4 linked regions of the Drosophila melanogaster genome follow. The protein of the gene in region 1 purifies or fractionates together with the protein of each later gene. This does not show direct contact. Each region holds a gene or a part of one and is shown in the gene's direction. Other genes may lie near its edges. The genes, in order: SPE, Sil1, Tap42 and FipoQ.

Region 1 (4,224 bases):
TGACCCAGGCGGAGAAAGATGTGTTTGCACACAGGCAGTGTGGCCTGGACCCCAATGGACACGAGTTGTTGCACATGGTTTATGTCTGCTGCCCAGAGTTGGGTGACGTCTTGCCCAACAAACAGACCTGTGGACAAACGACGCCCGTGTTCCGAGATCGGGGTGCCGAGAATGCAGAGCTTAATGAGTACCCTTGGATGGTATTGCTGTTATATGAGAATCGGCTATCCTTGATGTGGAATCAACGAACTGGTTGTGCGGGCTCACTGATCAACAGTCGCTGTTCACACATGAACACGAATATATTTAAAGACTTACAATTTTGGGCTCCGTTCATATCTTATGTAAATGAATCGAGAGCGATAAATTATATTTAGGATTTTGTTATCTAAGGCGACATGGGTGCATTGCTCAAAAACATGTAATTTAAGTGCACACTACATGAGTCAGTCACTTGAGATCTTTCCCCGCCTCCTAAAATAGTCCCTTAGTGGGAGACCACAGATAAGGTCCTCGCCGCTCAAGATAGGCAGATGTGCCCGAGCGTGGGACCTCGATAAGGCGGGGACTATTTACTTAGGCCTCTGCGTAGGCCATTTACTTTAAGATGCGATTCTCATGTCACCTATTTAAACCGAAGATATTTCCAAATAAAATTAGTTTCTTACAAAAACTCAACGAGTAAAGTCTTCTCATTTGGGATTTTACAGTCGCTATGTGCTGACCGCTGCCCACTGCGTGATCGGTGGTTACTTGACGCAGAATGACCTGGTTCTGAAGAGTGTGCGCCTGGGCGAGTCCACTACCGACTGCATCACCTCGGAAAGCAGGTGTCCACATTTGGATGTGGAGGTGGGGCAAACAACAGTACATCAGGGTTTCACTTCGAGTGGCGGAACTTACCGCAACGACATCGCCCTCCTCCGATTGCAATTCCCAGTGCGGTGAGTAGCAGTGATCTCCACCCTAATCTCCACATCTTATGGAAATTTCTTTACAAACCCGCTAGATACACGAAAAAGATCCAACCCATTTGTCTATTGGACGCCGAATTTCCCCTACAGGATTTGAATTTGCAAATCTCTGGCTGGGATCCGACTAAAAGCAGTCAAACGTTGATCACCAGCACGGTCAAGGAAAGGAATCCTGCTGATTGCTTGAATAGGTATCCCAGCTTTCGCTCCGCGTCCCAAGTATGCGCCGGTGGTCAACGGAAAGGGGACACCTGTGCGGGCATCTCCGGCAGTCCGGTAATGGGCATCATGGGAAGCGGCGTCGACGAGTTCGTCTTTTTGGCAGGCATTGCCTCATATGGACAACAATATTGCTACTCTGCTGGTATTCCAGGTGTTTACACAAAAATTGGCCACTTTTCGGAGTGGATCAAAGCGAATTTGGCTCCCTAATTTTAATAAAGAATTCATATTTGCAAAATTGGAATAGCATCTGTTCCATTAATCCACTACTATAAAGTAATAGACCTATAAAACCCCAAAAGATAAGAAAAAGCACTGAAGATTGTTTTTTAAAAAACGTGTTGTTCAAAAAACATAACGTGCCGAGAGAAGATTAAGCATAAATAAATTTCTAATAACTACACCGCTGGGTTTGCCCAGCTCAGCAGAACTACTATGTAAATATTAAGGCAGGGAAAGACCACCCTATTCACATAGCTTTTGCCTTTGTTGCAATCTAGATGGTATTGAGTCCGGAGATAACCTCTGCTAATCACGCCCAATGCATCGGGAGAGAATCGGTGACAGCGAAACTGCCGGACAGCTTGGTTAGTATCAGCTTGGAGCCCATAGCGACGAGATGGCTTCTACGGAACGGAATTTTCTGCTACTGTCACTGGTGGTCAGCGCATTATCCGGCTTGGTCCATCGATCAGGTGGGTAAGCTGTCCTTTGGGCAAACAATATCCACAGCAACTGGATGCAATGGTGCTTCTTTCAAAAGTATATAGTTCTATATATATAGTATAGTATAGTATATAGTTTGAATAAAGCTAGAAAAACTAAGCACTTGACCTTGTTGATTGTGAGAATAAAAACCATAACAACTAATAATCAAAGAGTTTTTGAAAACTTCAAATATATTAAATATCAACATATAGTTTCCCGGACTAAGAAATTTTATGAGAAATATTAGACATGAAGTCCATTAGTAGAATGGATTGCCTTTAATGGATTGGTTCAGAACCGGTTAGACTGCATCGTAAATCGCGCTCTTCTCTTCCAGACGCAGCGGAGATCAGCTTTGGCAGTTGTACGCCCCAGCAGAGCGATGAGCGCGGCCAGTGCGTTCACATCACCAGCTGCCCCTACCTGGCCAACCTGCTGATGGTGGAGCCAAAGACTCCCGCCCAGCGAATCCTTCTCTCCAAGAGCCAGTGTGGCCTGGACAACAGGGTTGAGGGCTTGGTGAATCGAATCCTGGTCTGCTGTCCGCAGAGCATGCGGGGCAATATCATGGACTCGGAACCAACTCCTTCGACGAGGGATGCACTGCAGCAGGGGGATGTGCTGCCTGGAAATGACGTCTGCGGCTTCCTTTTCGCTGATCGCATTTTCGGGGGCACCAATACGACCCTCTGGGAATTCCCATGGATGGTATTGCTGCAGTACAAAAAACGTGAGTAGATTACCTACCCAGGCTCTATTTTAATCTCTTATAGGAAGGTTGTTTCACGAGGTCACCTGTAATCATTTTTTAATCACTTTTTCAAATCAAATTCTCCAATGGGGGGATCATCATTATAAGAAAACGCATATTCAATATATACAAGGCTATTATTAGTATCTAATCAATTTATAATATGTACTTGGGAAACGCTCTTTATCCTTTCAGTTTTTTCTGAAACCTACACTTTCAACTGCGGCGGTGCATTGCTCAACTCGCGCTACGTCCTGACCGCTGGACACTGCCTGGCCAGCCGAGAACTGGACAAATCCGGTGCCGTTCTACACAGCGTTCGCCTGGGGGAGTGGGACACTCGTACCGATCCTGACTGCACCACCCAGATGAACGGACAGCGCATCTGTGCACCGAAACACATCGACATTGAGGTCGAGAAGGGCATCATCCACGAGATGTATGCTCCCAATTCCGTTGATCAGCGTAATGACATTGCGTTGGTGCGCCTTAAGAGGATTGTTAGGTATGTGGTCCAGAGATCCCTCAATTATTCCACTGACTTGCTTTTTTGTTTTTGCCACAGCTACACCGACTACGTGCGTCCAATATGCCTTCCCACGGATGGTTTAGTCCAAAACAACTTTGTGGACTACGGCATGGATGTGGCCGGCTGGGGACTTACCGAGAACATGCAGCCAAGTGCGATCAAGCTGAAGATCACCGTCAACGTTTGGAACCTAACGAGTTGTCAGGAAAAGTACTCCAGCTTCAAGGTGAAACTGGACGATTCTCAGATGTGTGCCGGCGGCCAGTTGGGCGTGGATACATGCGGTGGCGATTCCGGCGGTCCCCTTATGGTGCCTATATCCACGGGCGGCCGGGATGTCTTCTACATTGCCGGCGTCACCTCCTACGGGACGAAGCCCTGCGGCCTCAAGGGATGGCCCGGCGTCTATACCCGCACGGGGGCTTTCATCGATTGGATAAAGCAGAAATTGGAGCCATGATGAATACATACTTAAATACATGATAACCATGTGAAAAGCGCGATGTAGATATTGGGGTTTAATCAATTCACATGAGATCGGCACTGTCAAGTTTTGCGAGCACAACCGGTTGTAATAATATCGAACCACTTTTCTGTCAATCTGTGATCAGCAAAGTCTGGTAGTAGCTTGCCCACGTAATTTCCCATATTCTAATGGAAAAGTAGAGGAAAATCTCTGGAACTCATTTATCTCTGTTGCAATAGCCATCTCACTTGTCAATCTAGACGGCAGATGTGCCGGAGAGCTTGGTCAGTATCGGATTGGGTTCTGGGGTATCGAGATGGCTTCCATGGAATGGAATTTTCTACTATTGCTAATGGTCATCTGCGCATTTTCCGAGTGGGTCCAACATTCAGATGGGATGCCATAAACGACAACGATTTCACCTGGATCCGCTTAAAATTTTGAAATATATCCACACACGAGGTGGAGAAGGGCATTGTACATGACCAATAGTTGCCTAATTCCGTAGACCAGCAGAATGACATTGCTTTGGTTTTGAAAAGGAGTGGCATTGAAAAGGAGTGGCGGGTGTGTG
Region 2 (4,033 bases), 1.5 Mb from region 1:
ATGCATTATATATATATATAATTTAATTATACATATATAATTTGCACTATATTTCGGCATCTTGTGTACTTTTTATAGATTCAAACTCCGTGAAATGGAATCCGCGCTTTGTTCACACTTTTAATAAAGTGCAAATATCAATTCGTACTTATTGGCTTATGATATTATTCATCCCATATTTGCTTTGAGATCAGCACTTGGAATTGGGAACCTACCTCTGGGGGAATTCCTAAGTGTGCTAAATGGCCAGGCAATCTGAAAGGGAATGATAATGAATAGGTCATGGTTAAGGATCCACGATAAAAATCACTTAAGTTATGAAATTGTATTCCGACCAGAAGGAAGAATGCATCCCAAGGCTCCCAACTATGAAATTTCCGTTTTGGACATATGTACGAAGATAAATCTTTTTGTGGCCAACACAACTCAATTCCGACATAAACCAATTAGACATAGTCGGGCATTTTGGACGACATCAAACAGGTTCCAACGGCATCGATAATCGATAATGGATGGATCGACGGATAAAAGTTGCTCGGCGAGGTGGCTTCACTTTCAAAACTATTGGACAGGCGACGTTCGGAACGGGCCGAGTGAATTTAATTTGGCAAATTCTAGTTAAAGGCTCCTGGCGTTCGTCATCAGCAATTAGCATATACTACATATATACATATGTATATGTATATTTGGTGTGTGATTGGCATGAAACCGGCATTCTGTTTATTTACCCATCCAATTGGCGCCAGGTGAGTCCAAATATTTCACTTTTGTCCACTTTGATGTGTTTGCGCAGCCAATTCCTAGACGCTGTCGTAGACATCGAGATTACAACGGATTTTCGGGGGCGAAATATGGTAATATATGCAAACACGCTTTTATTTTATTACGTCGGGCTTGCCTGCAAATAATTTGGCATTTCAATTTTGAGTTGGTTGATTCATCTGCGCGTAAACATGATTTCGTTTTTCTTTGTAAACTCAGTAAATACGTTTAGTTTATAACTAGTTTAGCTACGTTGTAACGAAGTGGAAAGCTTATGAATGGCGGTTACTTTTCAATTTTTAATGAATTCACGATGAGTTTGGGAATTTTTGGTGGCATTCTGGTTTGATGTGGTTTAATCGTTCTGAATGGCATTAACTTTTTCTGGTTCTTAAATATTAATTTCAAGTCTGGAAATTTCTAGCAATGCTTGTTTTTCACAACAAACTAAGGTTTAAAAATATTAATATTTGTGTTCGTTAGGGATAAAAATTAATTTGTTAGCGAAATAATGTTTGAAATCATTTAAAGTTTCCAACTATTCCGGACTAAGAGCAAAAATTAACCATAAAAATTTTTACTTAATTTTTGTATTACTTATTTATATAAGATTTGGCTTGGAATGTCCAACAGCACAATCTAATAAATATAAAGAAAGATTATAAAGCATACATATAGTTTACACTTTTTCAATACTTTAATATATTCTATTGTTTATAACGAATTTATTGATTACAAATATTTTCAAATTTGAAATTGAATTGTAACCGCCTTTGACTGGTTCCGAATCGACTGGCTCTCCACGGAACATATCGCCACATGCGGTATAATCAATGCAGCTCCCTACGGTCATACTATTAACCACATCCACATCAGAAGTCTGAAATCTGATTTAAAAACTCTCACGAAACTTACTTAAAACCAGGTGAAATAAAGACTGAATACATTCTGGAGGCAAGACAAGCTGAAGCAGTATGAGTGGCAAGCAGGTAGTCATCCTTCTGGGCAGTGTCCTGATCCTGGGATGCTTACAAGTGGCAGCGGCAACGGAAACGGATAACAAAACCAACGATTTCGTGGCCACCGACGAATGGCAGACGATTGCGGAAGGTTAATGGCTAGCCAGGCTAACTCTCGGATGACGTGTACTAAGTGAGCACTCTATATTTCCAGGTCAAGCTATTCCAAGGGGCCTGCACGTGCGCATCAACCTACAAACGGGGCTCAAGGAAGCCAAACTCTTAGACGAAAGCGAACGTGGCACGTCGCTGCAGAGTCAACCGGATGATCAGAATGCTCGGGAATCTCACGATGACAACGAACCCCTGGCTCTGGACTATAAACCGGACATAATCGAGGAGTCTATACGGCGGGTCAAGGAGCAGAAGAAGAGCTATGCCGAGCTACGCAAAGCGTACAAAGAGTTCCAGAAGAACTTTCGCACCGACGGAGAACTGATCGTCCAGTTAATCGATCAGTTTCGGAACTTCAGCAGAACGCCGCTAGAGTCAGAGATGCGCTCCAAGCTGGACTGCCTGGAAAATCTGGAGTATTTGCTCCATCAGATAGACAATGCCTTGATGTTCATTGATAATGGGGGATTGGATGATGTACTACTGCCCATTGTTGTGAACGATACCAGTACATCCCTGAGAGTGTCGGCCATGCGTGTGTTGGGCTCGCTGGCGAGCAACAATCCCAAGGCCCAGATCAAGGTGTTCGAAAAGAATTTCGGGTCTCATCTGGCTCAGATTCTGACCAGTTCCGGAAATGTCGGTGAGATCTCCGCTGCATTGCACGCCTTTGGAGCCTTGTTGCGGAAATTTCCGCTAGCCCAGCAGCGAGTGCTTTCCACCTCGGGTACACAGGCTCTGATCAAGGTGCTCCAGAGTCCGGATGTGGAGCTGCGGAGCAAGGCGAAGGTAGTGACTCTCATAAGCGACCTAGTGCTGGAGAAGCGGTCAGTGCTGGATGTCAGCAAAGATGATCCCGAAGCCTCATCCACAATGGCGCAATATGTGCTCTTGGACTTCGAGTCGTGGCTGAAAACGCCGGGCTACTGCGCGGCGGTGGACACTGTGCTAACCAAGGAGTTCCTGCTCCTCCTAGAGCAACCGGAGGTGGTGGAACAGTTTGCCACCGCATTGGAGACCACCGAAGATATGTGCACCAGCACGTGGTCGCAAAGTTCCGGTCTCAGGCATGCACTATTAACCGTTCGCAATCGGTATGCCAACAGCACGGACGAGTACCGACTGGAGGTGTCCCAGATTTTGGCCAAACTGTGCGAGAGATTGTTCAACAAGCCCAAGCACACCGAACTGTAATCCTAGCCAATTTACTATGTTATTTATGTTAATTTCATTTAATTGTAAGCTGAGTTGGAATGAAATTCGCAGCCAAACCATAGAATACGATAGCTAAGATGCCAAGTACTTGTGATGCAAAAATAATGCTCTTTGTCATTAACTTAGGATAGCAATCAATCATGCCAAACATCTACAGGATTTTCGTTATCAAATATAGTCTCTTACTTAAGATTATTTTAAGTGTGATTTTTTTTTAATAGGCAGACGATTCACCAACGAGCACATCAAAATAATTATGTTGTTACACGTCATTAAACTAGCAAAAATTTGTATGCTACAGAATTGTTCTCCAAACAGATTATGAATCCTTAAAGCCTTAAGTTCTTGTTTATTGTAGCTACAATAATAAAGCAATGACCTAATGTTTAATTTAGAAATTCTTTCTTAAATCAGTTGACTTCTTTTCAGTGGCATATTCTTAAAATGTAGTGCTAAATTATGAAAGGAAATGTATTTTCAATCAAGAAATCGCATTAGGAGATTGGATATTCCACCCCTATAGAACTACAGACCCATTTAAAGCCCGATAAGGCGAGCATAATCGACCGGGCCATAAAGTAAGTCAAAAGTGTCGGAAGGAAAGCAAAAACGCCGAGGAAAGCATGTCCCAAAAAACCACTTGAAGTTTGAATGTGAGCCAAACGAAGCCACAAGAACAGGGAAAACCTGGCACGGAACTGTACAGGAGGAGAAAGGACATCGGAGCAGGAGAGTGCAATTATGTGCCGGCAAAGTTGGAAGTTGGAGTCGAAGTCCAGCGCGGGAATTACAGCAATTAGCGGCAGTCACATGCAAATGCAATGTCACTGGGGCTGAGTCACGACGGTGGATGGTCGGATAGGTGGAGTGGTAAAGGTGAAGCAGCGCCTGGAAGGGAGCCGGCTAGGACGCCGCCTTGGTTC
Region 3 (3,756 bases), on another chromosome or scaffold:
AGCTCCTCCTGCACCAGCGGCTTATCCGACATCCACATGGTGTAGTACAATCCCTTCCAGATGCGCATGAAGTCGTCCTCGTTGAAGGGAAAGGAGCTACCGGCACGCGCCTTGAACCACTTGCGCAAAATGCGGATCTGGCGATTACGCTCCACCACATCGTTGCAGGCAAGAGCACGTATAATTTTCACCTCCTGGGCGACCACCATCAGCTCCTTGGCCACCTTCGGCTGTGAAGCGTCCTCCTCCTGCTCGACCTGGATTTCGGCCGCCTCGGCGTTGCGCTTAACTGGCTTCTTGCGCGTCACCATTATCCGGCTAATTCAACTTTTAGTTGCGAAAAATAAGTGAGCTGTGTATATTGAATACGGTACGGCACGACCGCACGTGTTGCCGTTCGATGTTGCCAGATGTTGAAACGACATTTTCTCCAAATTTCGTCCAACAGCTCTAAATGCATGAGCTGTACTGAAAATGACAACAAAAACTCAAGCTAATGAAATAATTTTCAAAGAATAAAATAAAGAAAAAAAGAATAATAAAAAGAATATTTAAATTGCTAGTTTTGATACTTCATGAAACGCTTGCTTTATACATTTTAATACAATTTTATATATTTTTAGCCATTTATAGGTTGTTATTTTATAGCTACCAGCGCTGACTTCTTTACGGAAAGTGGCAACTCTCTTCCACAGCTGATAATTCGGTCTGCTTTTTGTAAATTTTGCTTGTCCAGCAAATTTAGTTAAATAATTCAAAGAAATCATGCCCGTGGTGAACGTGTCGGCTGCCGAGGAGTACCAGAAGTACATTAATGCGGATAAGACGACCGTAGCTCTATTCGCCGCCGAATGGGCAGAGCAATGCGGTCAGGTGAAAGACGCGCTGGAGGAGCTGGCCAAGATTACTGGCGAAAAACTGCAGTTCATCAGCCTAAACGCTGAACAATTTCCCGAGATTTCCATGAAACATCAGGTACGCTCGTATTTATTTTATGAAAATATAACAGTAGTTCCTCATTCATTTGCGATGCCACCAGATCGAGGCCGTGCCCACAGTCATATTCTTCGCCAAGGGCTCCGCCGTTGACCGTGTCGATGGTGTAGACATCGCCGCCATAAGCGCCAAATCCAAAAAGTTGGCCGAAAACGCAAGCAGCGCGGCGGCAACAGGACAAACGTTGGAGGAACGCCTAAAGGCCCTAATCAATACAGCTCCGCTGATGATATTCATGAAGGGCGACCGAAATGGACCGCGTTGCGGATTCTCCAAGCAGCTCATCGGCATTGTGAACGAAACCAAGTATGCAAATTGATCATCAGTTGTATTTGATTTCAAGTTATAAACGAAAATATCCTTCGATAGCTTGCCGTACGAGACATTTGACATCCTCGGCGACGAAGAAGTGCGTCAAGGCCTGAAAACCTACTCCGACTGGCCCACATATCCCCAGGTTTACGTCAAGGGTGAACTTATCGGCGGACTCGATATTATTAAGGAACTGCTGGCGAACAATGAGCTCGAGTCCACGCTAAAGGGCTAATTCCATCGGATTGCATCTACTCCTACAGACACCATAAACCAGAAACAAATTTTTAGCTAGATCCTTAGACTTTTTAATGGTTTAATAAAGGATTTTTGCTACATTCTGGTATTATTTTATTCATCGAAATTTTTAATAACAATTGTATTAAAGCAAATGTGCTATAGGTCATCCATAAGACATCTTACACGGGCTTCAATGGTGTCACCATAAATGTTTACAAACTTAACGACATAAATATAGCTAGAAATTTGTAAGAACTTTTTTATACACCAGCCCTGGTTTATCTGGTATTTTGCGTACCTTCATTTTGTAAACAGCTGTTTCGGCGTCGGCATCTTGCACATTATTTTCGCAATATTATTTATATTATTGAAAATACCCATTAACTATAAACTTATATCCAAATCTTTAAATGGCTGAGGGTAATACCGCTGGCGGAGAGGACCAAAAGCTGACGGACATCTTTCTAAAGGGCTGGAACATATTCGACGAGCTAGAAGTTACCGAACTGCCCTTCAATGGCAGCGAATTTCAGGTGTGTAATATTGAAGATCTTCATATATATGTAATAAAAACCAGCATTGAACGTTTACCACAACGTTTAGAACAAAGTGAAGACTGCAATGGGCCTTTTCGAGCAGGCCACCGTCATTGTGAACCAGGTTAGCATGTTCAGTGCCAACGAGTTGATCGACGAGGTGTCCACGGAATCGCTACCATTCATGCTGCTCCCTTACTTTCTGGGCAAGCTTACCACTAAGATCAACAGCCCCAATAACACACACTCCATAGAGCTGGGCGAGATTTACTTCAAGGACCACCTGCAGCGTTGCCAGGAGTATGATCTCTGTGCAGCGCCCAAATCTCAGGTGGCTAAGGCGGATAGCCAAGCGGAAAAAAGCGAGCAGCGCGAGCTGGTAGAGGCAGCCTTCAATAGAAACGACAAAATAGCCCAGTATCGCCGGATGAAGGAGATTGACGAGTATATGGCCAGAATGCGCGATGCAGTCAAGAACAAAACGGTCGACGATGAGGATAAACGTGTCTTTTTCCTCAAGTATTTGGACAAGAGTATAATAGACTCCAAGCAGGAATTAGAAACATTGGGCGTAATGAAGCAGCTGGCCCAGATGCGCCTTGCCCGATTGGCTGGTGGCGAATCCGACAACGAAGTGGATTCGTTCCGTCCACCGAATCAAAATCAATCTTCTGCATCGTCCACCTCCCGCGGTCATGGTCACAGCCACGGACCCGGACACCACCACCATCATCAGCAGGCCGCTAAGCCAAAGCCCTTGCAGCCCTTCATCATAACACGTAATGCCACCCAGAAGGCGGTTTTCGGCTTGGGATACCCCAGTTTGCCCATTATGACTGTTGATGAATTCTACCAGCAGCGCGTCGACGAGGGCATCTTTCCTGATGAGGAGAAGGTTGCCAAGATGAATCAGGCACAGGCCATCGCGGCCGCCCGGGATCCCAACGAAAAAGAGGACGAGGAGAAGGCCGTTGAGGAGCTACAGGCGGAGCAGGATGATCCCGAGTATATAGACCGCATGAGGCGCATGGATGAATACAAGGATGTGGTGCGTCGCGGTGACGGCAACCGTCATAACCGTAGTTAAGGAACTCAAAATTTATGTATTTTTTTAAAACCCAATAAAATGGTATAACCGCAAGACTGGTTTTAAGTCAGTATATTCAAAAAATAATTCTAGTTTCTAAATTTATTTATAAATCCTAGGGATGCGCTATTGATAAAATAAAAATTGTTTTCTTTTTTATTGAATTGACAATATATACAGTAAATAAATAGTTAGAATAGTTCCACTGTTGCAGTATTGGTAGGCGTTTGGCTGTAATCGCGCATTTTGCAGCACTGATTGTCACCACCAGTAACAAAAACAAAAATCTCAAGCACAAGTTAAATTTTTGTGAGTTGCTACACAAAAAACGTAAAAGAGAAGACAGTTCTCTCGAAATATTGATAGATCAACAAAGATTAAAGTGAGGTGTGTTAAAATACAGCAGATACGTGGTAGTATCAAGTGTTAACACTTTTCGTACTCTGCAGCAACCCAAAAGCAGAATGTCAGTACGAGACTTTATCAAGGGTCTGCCCATACACGATTCGAGCAATTTTACCCATTTGAGCAACGAACATGGAATTCGAACGTCGCAGAAGCGTGCCTCCGTCTACCTGCCCACCG
Region 4 (4,922 bases), 5.8 Mb from region 1:
CTCAAATCATAAGAAGTGATTTTTTGTAGTTTCTAGCATTTGTAATATCTGTTTCCCAACGATCGACCACGCCCCCTGGGCAACCGCCCCTCTGTTGGCCGCTCGCCATGGGAAAAGCAAATGACGCCTGCACTCGCAGAGATCGCCCCGAATAACCCCTCCATATCCACAGATCCACAGATCCCCAGATGCCCATGTAGCCATGTACTCCGCATGTAGTACGATCAACTAGCCGAGTGAATTTTGGCATAAACCATTTTCCGCGGACGCCTGATTTTCTCAGTTTTCTCAGAGTTGTGGAGCCGTCGAGAACGCGGAGCATTCGCCCATGTAAAGCCGCAGAATCCGTCGATTTTCGCCGGAATTTATCAATCCGATTTGCCAGTAATTTGCAACAGAATAAGTGAATTTGCCAAGTGAATTTCCCTAGTTTTTTTTTTCAACTTGCAACGAAAGTGCTAAAGTTACGAAACTGCACTTTCCACGTTGCACTTGCAACCCCAACAGTTTTTTCCACCAGATCCACCAGCTGAGGGAAAACTATTAATAAACCGGGCGAAGGATGAAACAAATTCAGATGTGACGCCCATCCTCGTCGAAAATCAAAAGTCGCAAGTGAACAATGTGTGTGTGTTCACTGAGTTTGCATAATTGTGAATTTGCTATTTTAATCGCCTGCGGGCATCAATTAATTAATTAATTAAAAGCTTTCCTTCTCGCACTCGTTTATTTGCGGAAAGTGTCTAACAATTTCGTTTGATCAACTAATCAAATGGGTAAATAACATAGTAAAAACGAAGTTTTAACTAACTGCTTTCGCTTGCTTACTTAATATACTTATACTTTCCAGAACTAATAGACTACTGAATATAGATTTCCTATTAATTTGCTTCAAAATGTGGTAATTTAATTAGCTTAGCTGCTTGTAAACTAATAATTTCTAAATAACAATTAGTTTGAAATGCTCAGAATTCAGTGTGACTAATTGGGAAAGCCTTGCAGAAATAGTTTAGCTCATGAATGAATGTATCTCATGCGAGTATAGCCGGCACATCTCCTCCCTTAGTTAGATACATAGATACATAGATACATAGATAGAAGCGGACGGATCCAGCAAGACCATACATACATACATATTGTACAGCTGAGACAGCGAACACCTTCAGCTTTCCGGCTGATCCCAATCCAAATCGCGAACTAGAGCGCAGTGCCCACCATGGATAATTGGAATGTTTTGGCAGCGCAAACCTCCTCGCAGGCCATCGGACTCCACGACTCTGGCGTGGTGAAGACCCGACTGGTGAGTACCCTGTACATAGAACATACACATGTGCAGATAGATATACATATTAGATGTAGTAAACAAAACAAAGCCAGACAGACGAACGATGGCGTATATATAGAATTCTTGGCAACAAACATTGTGCACTGAGAAAGTAAAAGGGGTTCGAAATCTATTATTACTATTAAATATATATATGCAAAAGCAGGCTGTGCGGAAATGTATCTTAAAGTAGGCGCTAAAGGATAAAGCTCAGAAGGTTATTCCTCGGGAAACAGAAGCATTTTCAGATGCATCTTAAAGTATCTAAGAAGTAGAAATATCTTAAGATGAATCCATAGGTTATCCGAACCTACAAAAGGTAGATACTATCAGCAATATCAGATACTTTTAGATATAAGTAAAATATAGTAAAATATCTCGAGATACTTTTATACAGCTTACTAATGATTTTGAATCTGACGAGGAAAGGAAGAGATTTGGCAGGGATTTTATCAGCATGTTTCTCCACGTGCACCGCTGGGTGAGTGGTGCTGGTGGTTCTAGTGGTTCTATTTGTTCTTAAAGAGTGCGTGAGTGGTGTGGTGCGTCGCCCGTGAACAGCACAGCTGATGCATCCGAAAGTAGAGTGATTGAGTGATGCGATGTGGCAGTGCTCTCGTTACTGGCGCTGGTCTATAAATAAGCCTAGGGTTCTCTTGAGTCTACTACTGCCTGGCGGATCTTTGGAGATTCCGATGGCACGTCGATGGGAATGCGGCTCGCAGTAGCGCGAAAGTAGCTCGATACGACGGATATTCTCGCCTCGCAGGCAGAGCACGCGTAGTTTGCCCCGTGTGTAGCTATATTTTTTTTTTATATAAGCAAGTGGTTCCGAATCATCCACACCCAGCCATGGATATATCCACCGATATCTGGGGTCAGCTGGCCGTGGAGGCATCGCAGGTCTACCTCTCCGACGGCACAGTTCGCAGTCCCTTCGCCGATACGGTACGATGGGTTTGGGATATTACTTAGGGATCCCACTCATTTGGGAGAGCCAGTCTGTGGCGTAAGAGAGAGTATCTATAGATTCACTCACCCGTAGAATATATAGCACCACATTCGCACTCAACTATTCCGAACTGTCGTTTAGATTTACATTTAGAGATCATATTTGAATCACTTATGTAGTACCATAGGATATACCACTATATATCGTGACTCTCATCCACAGACCATTGAGAAGCTGCCGGACAAGGTGCTGCTGCACATCTTCTCGTATCTGTCGCACCGCGAGATCTGCCGCCTGGCCAGGATTTGCCGACGATGGCGGCAGATTGCATACGACACGCGGCTGTGGAAGAACGTGAGCCTGCGACCGGAGGTCTCCGGACTGCACGTGGGCTCGCTGGAGATGCTGCTGCAGCTGATCTCGGTGAGATTCGGACCGACTCTGCGCTACATCGAGCTGCCCATCGAGCTGATCACGCACACGGTGCTCCACGAACTGTCCGCCAAGTGCCCCAATTTGACCCACATGCTGCTGGACTTCTCCACAGGTGGGTGCGCCACGTCGCCGATCGTCCGTCTTAAACTCTAGAGTGTCCTGTGTACTTCTTAGCCATGCAGCTGCACGACTTCAGCGAGATGCAGGCCTTTCCCACCAAGCTGCGCTACATGTGCGTCTGCCTCTCGGAGGTGATCTTCATGGAGGGCTTCATGCGCAAAATCTACAACTTCATCAACGGCCTGGAGGTGCTGCATCTAATTGGCACGTACGAGAAGTGCGAGGAGGAGGAGGAGGAGATCTACGAGGTGATCAACGTGCACAAGCTCAAGTCGGCCACGCCCAATTTGCGTGTGATCAACCTGTACGGCATCAACTTCATCGATGACTCGCACATCGACGCCTTCAGCTCGAACTGCATCCAGCTGGAGTGCCTGGCCGTCAACTTCTGCAACAAAGTGACCGGCTCCACCCTGAAGACCCTGATCCAGCGTTCCAAGCGCCTCACCTGCCTGCTCATGAACGGCACCAGCCTGAAGTCGGAGTTCGTCATGCAGGCCGAGTGGGACAAGTGCGCCCTGCAGGAGCTGGACATCACGGCCACCGATCTTTCGACCGAATGCCTCGTGGACATGCTGAGCAGGATCCCCAGCCTCAAGTTCCTCTCAGCCGGCCAGATCAATGGCTTCAACGACAGCGTTCTCAAGCAGTGGATGGAATCGGGCACCACCAGGTGAGCGGAGACAGTACCTACCCGTCTGTGTAAGCACTCCGATAGCAGTATGATTTAGGTCGCTCATTTCCCTGGACTTGGACTCCTCGGACAACATCTCGGATGAGGGCCTGCTTAAGTTTATACAGCGCCAGGGTCATCAGCTGAGCGCCTGCTGTCTCTCGGGCATGCCCCACATCACCGACCAGCTGTGGATGAGCATCCTGCCCCTGCTGGGCAACTGCAAGTAGGCGACACTATTGGTCATCGAATGAAAAGACATTTTATTATGAGCTGAACTTTCTTAACCTGCAGGATCATTGTTATGGGCACCGCAGAGAAGCTGGGCGTCAACATCCACGTGGACCAGCTGATGGACACCATCGCCTCGAATTGCGGCAACTTGGAGCGGCTGGAGCTGCGCTGGGATCCGGACAACCTGCGCTTCTCCGACAAGAGCCAGAAGGCCATCGATATTCTGCGCGTCAAGTGCCTCAAGCTGCGCTGCATGGTGCTCAGGTGGGTCTACATCAGACTCCTATTTCTATGCGGGATTAACATCAATATTTCGCTTCCAGCGATGGTCGCTACTATGAGACGGTCAAGGCCAACTTTGAGCGTGCCGATCGCATCACCGTGGTGCGCACCACCACCTGCTGCCGTGTGTCTCCCTATCACCTGCTCCGCAACTACAACGATTTGATTTTCAACTGAGCCTCTGAGGTTCAGAGCTGAAAGCCAAGAGAGGATTGGTAGCTTGCACTTACCCGGTTGCAGAGCTCTGGATGGGATTTACCCACAACAGGGCCGGAGGAGAAGCAATGTTTCTGTGTGTTTTCGCTTACAATAAGAGTGTTTTAATGTTTTCTGTATTTTCCGCTTCTTTCGTTTAATTACTTTAAATCTAAATAAACGTACATAGGTAATTTAAATAAAAACAAAACAAGGATTTGCTTATACAAGTTATTTTTACATTACAAAATTATACAACGCAACTTTTCGCCTTGCTCTCGTTTTTAAATCATTTTTTTTTTTTTTTTAATCATTTCAATCCGCGTTGATTCGTGTTTTGTTTTTAACTAGATTTACTTGGTAACTTGATTAAATCATTTTCAGACTTCACCACATAAAATGTTTATCGTTTTTGCGTTTTAGCGTTTTGCTGATGATTTTTACACTGCTTTCATCCATTGCAAACTTAATGCTAATTTAATTTTTTTTTTGTGTGTGTATGTTTCAACATTTTTGAATCGACTTTTTACCATAAACTTAACGTACATATGTAGATCATCTCCGTTTGAATTATCGTCTCATTGCCGATCAGCGTTCAGCTATTATATGCATGGTATATAATTTAGTTAAGCATAGCTGCGTGAGTTATACATACGTAATGTCTGTGCCTATGACGATATAGGATCGAAGGTGGGTGCTGTGGTCGA

Evidence for each region.
Region 2: the proteins of SPE (region 1) and Sil1 purify together in Drosophila melanogaster (affinity purification with mass spectrometry, with the first as the bait; one large-scale study listed by BioGRID). This does not show direct contact.
Region 3: the proteins of SPE (region 1) and Tap42 purify together in Drosophila melanogaster (affinity purification with mass spectrometry, with the first as the bait; one large-scale study listed by BioGRID). This does not show direct contact.
Region 4: the proteins of SPE (region 1) and FipoQ purify together in Drosophila melanogaster (affinity purification with mass spectrometry, with the first as the bait; one large-scale study listed by BioGRID). This does not show direct contact.

The regions. Positions count from the first base shown.
Region 1 is NT_033777.3:23,684,471-23,688,694, forward strand, and holds SPE (Spatzle-Processing enzyme), read left to right. Parts: upstream 1-1,784; 5' UTR 1,785-1,815; coding exon 1,816-1,891; exon of another isoform or gene 1,892-2,067; intron 2,068-2,241; coding exon 2,242-2,634; intron 2,635-2,850; coding exon 2,851-3,160; intron 3,161-3,220; coding exon 3,221-3,644; 3' UTR 3,645-3,677; downstream 3,678-4,224. Other genes in the region: CG18754 (uncharacterized protein), read left to right, coding at 1-235, 711-944, 1,010-1,406.
Region 2 is NT_033777.3:25,233,101-25,237,133, reverse strand, and holds Sil1 (Sil1 nucleotide exchange factor), read left to right. Parts: upstream 1-1,604; 5' UTR 1,605-1,736; coding exon 1,737-1,872; intron 1,873-1,935; coding exon 1,936-3,089; 3' UTR 3,090-3,498; downstream 3,499-4,033. UniProt on the Drosophila melanogaster protein: Required for protein translocation and folding in the endoplasmic reticulum (ER). Functions as a nucleotide exchange factor for an ER lumenal chaperone of HSP70 family.
Region 3 is NT_033779.5:13,365,766-13,369,521, forward strand, and holds Tap42 (Two A-associated protein of 42kDa), read left to right. Parts: upstream 1-1,851; 5' UTR 1,852-1,958; coding exon 1,959-2,081; intron 2,082-2,151; coding exon 2,152-3,171; 3' UTR 3,172-3,256; downstream 3,257-3,756. Other genes in the region: Nnp-1, read right to left, coding at 1-311; Grx3 (glutaredoxin 3), read left to right, coding at 766-975, 1,040-1,302, 1,366-1,543; CG31855 (uncharacterized protein), read left to right, coding at 3,636-3,756.
Region 4 is NT_033777.3:29,494,502-29,499,423, forward strand, and holds FipoQ (F-box involved in polyQ pathogenesis), read left to right. Parts: upstream 1-2,039; 5' UTR 2,040-2,176; coding exon 2,177-2,272; intron 2,273-2,498; coding exon 2,499-2,823; intron 2,824-2,885; coding exon 2,886-3,504; intron 3,505-3,562; coding exon 3,563-3,730; intron 3,731-3,798; coding exon 3,799-4,002; intron 4,003-4,061; coding exon 4,062-4,197; 3' UTR 4,198-4,422; downstream 4,423-4,922.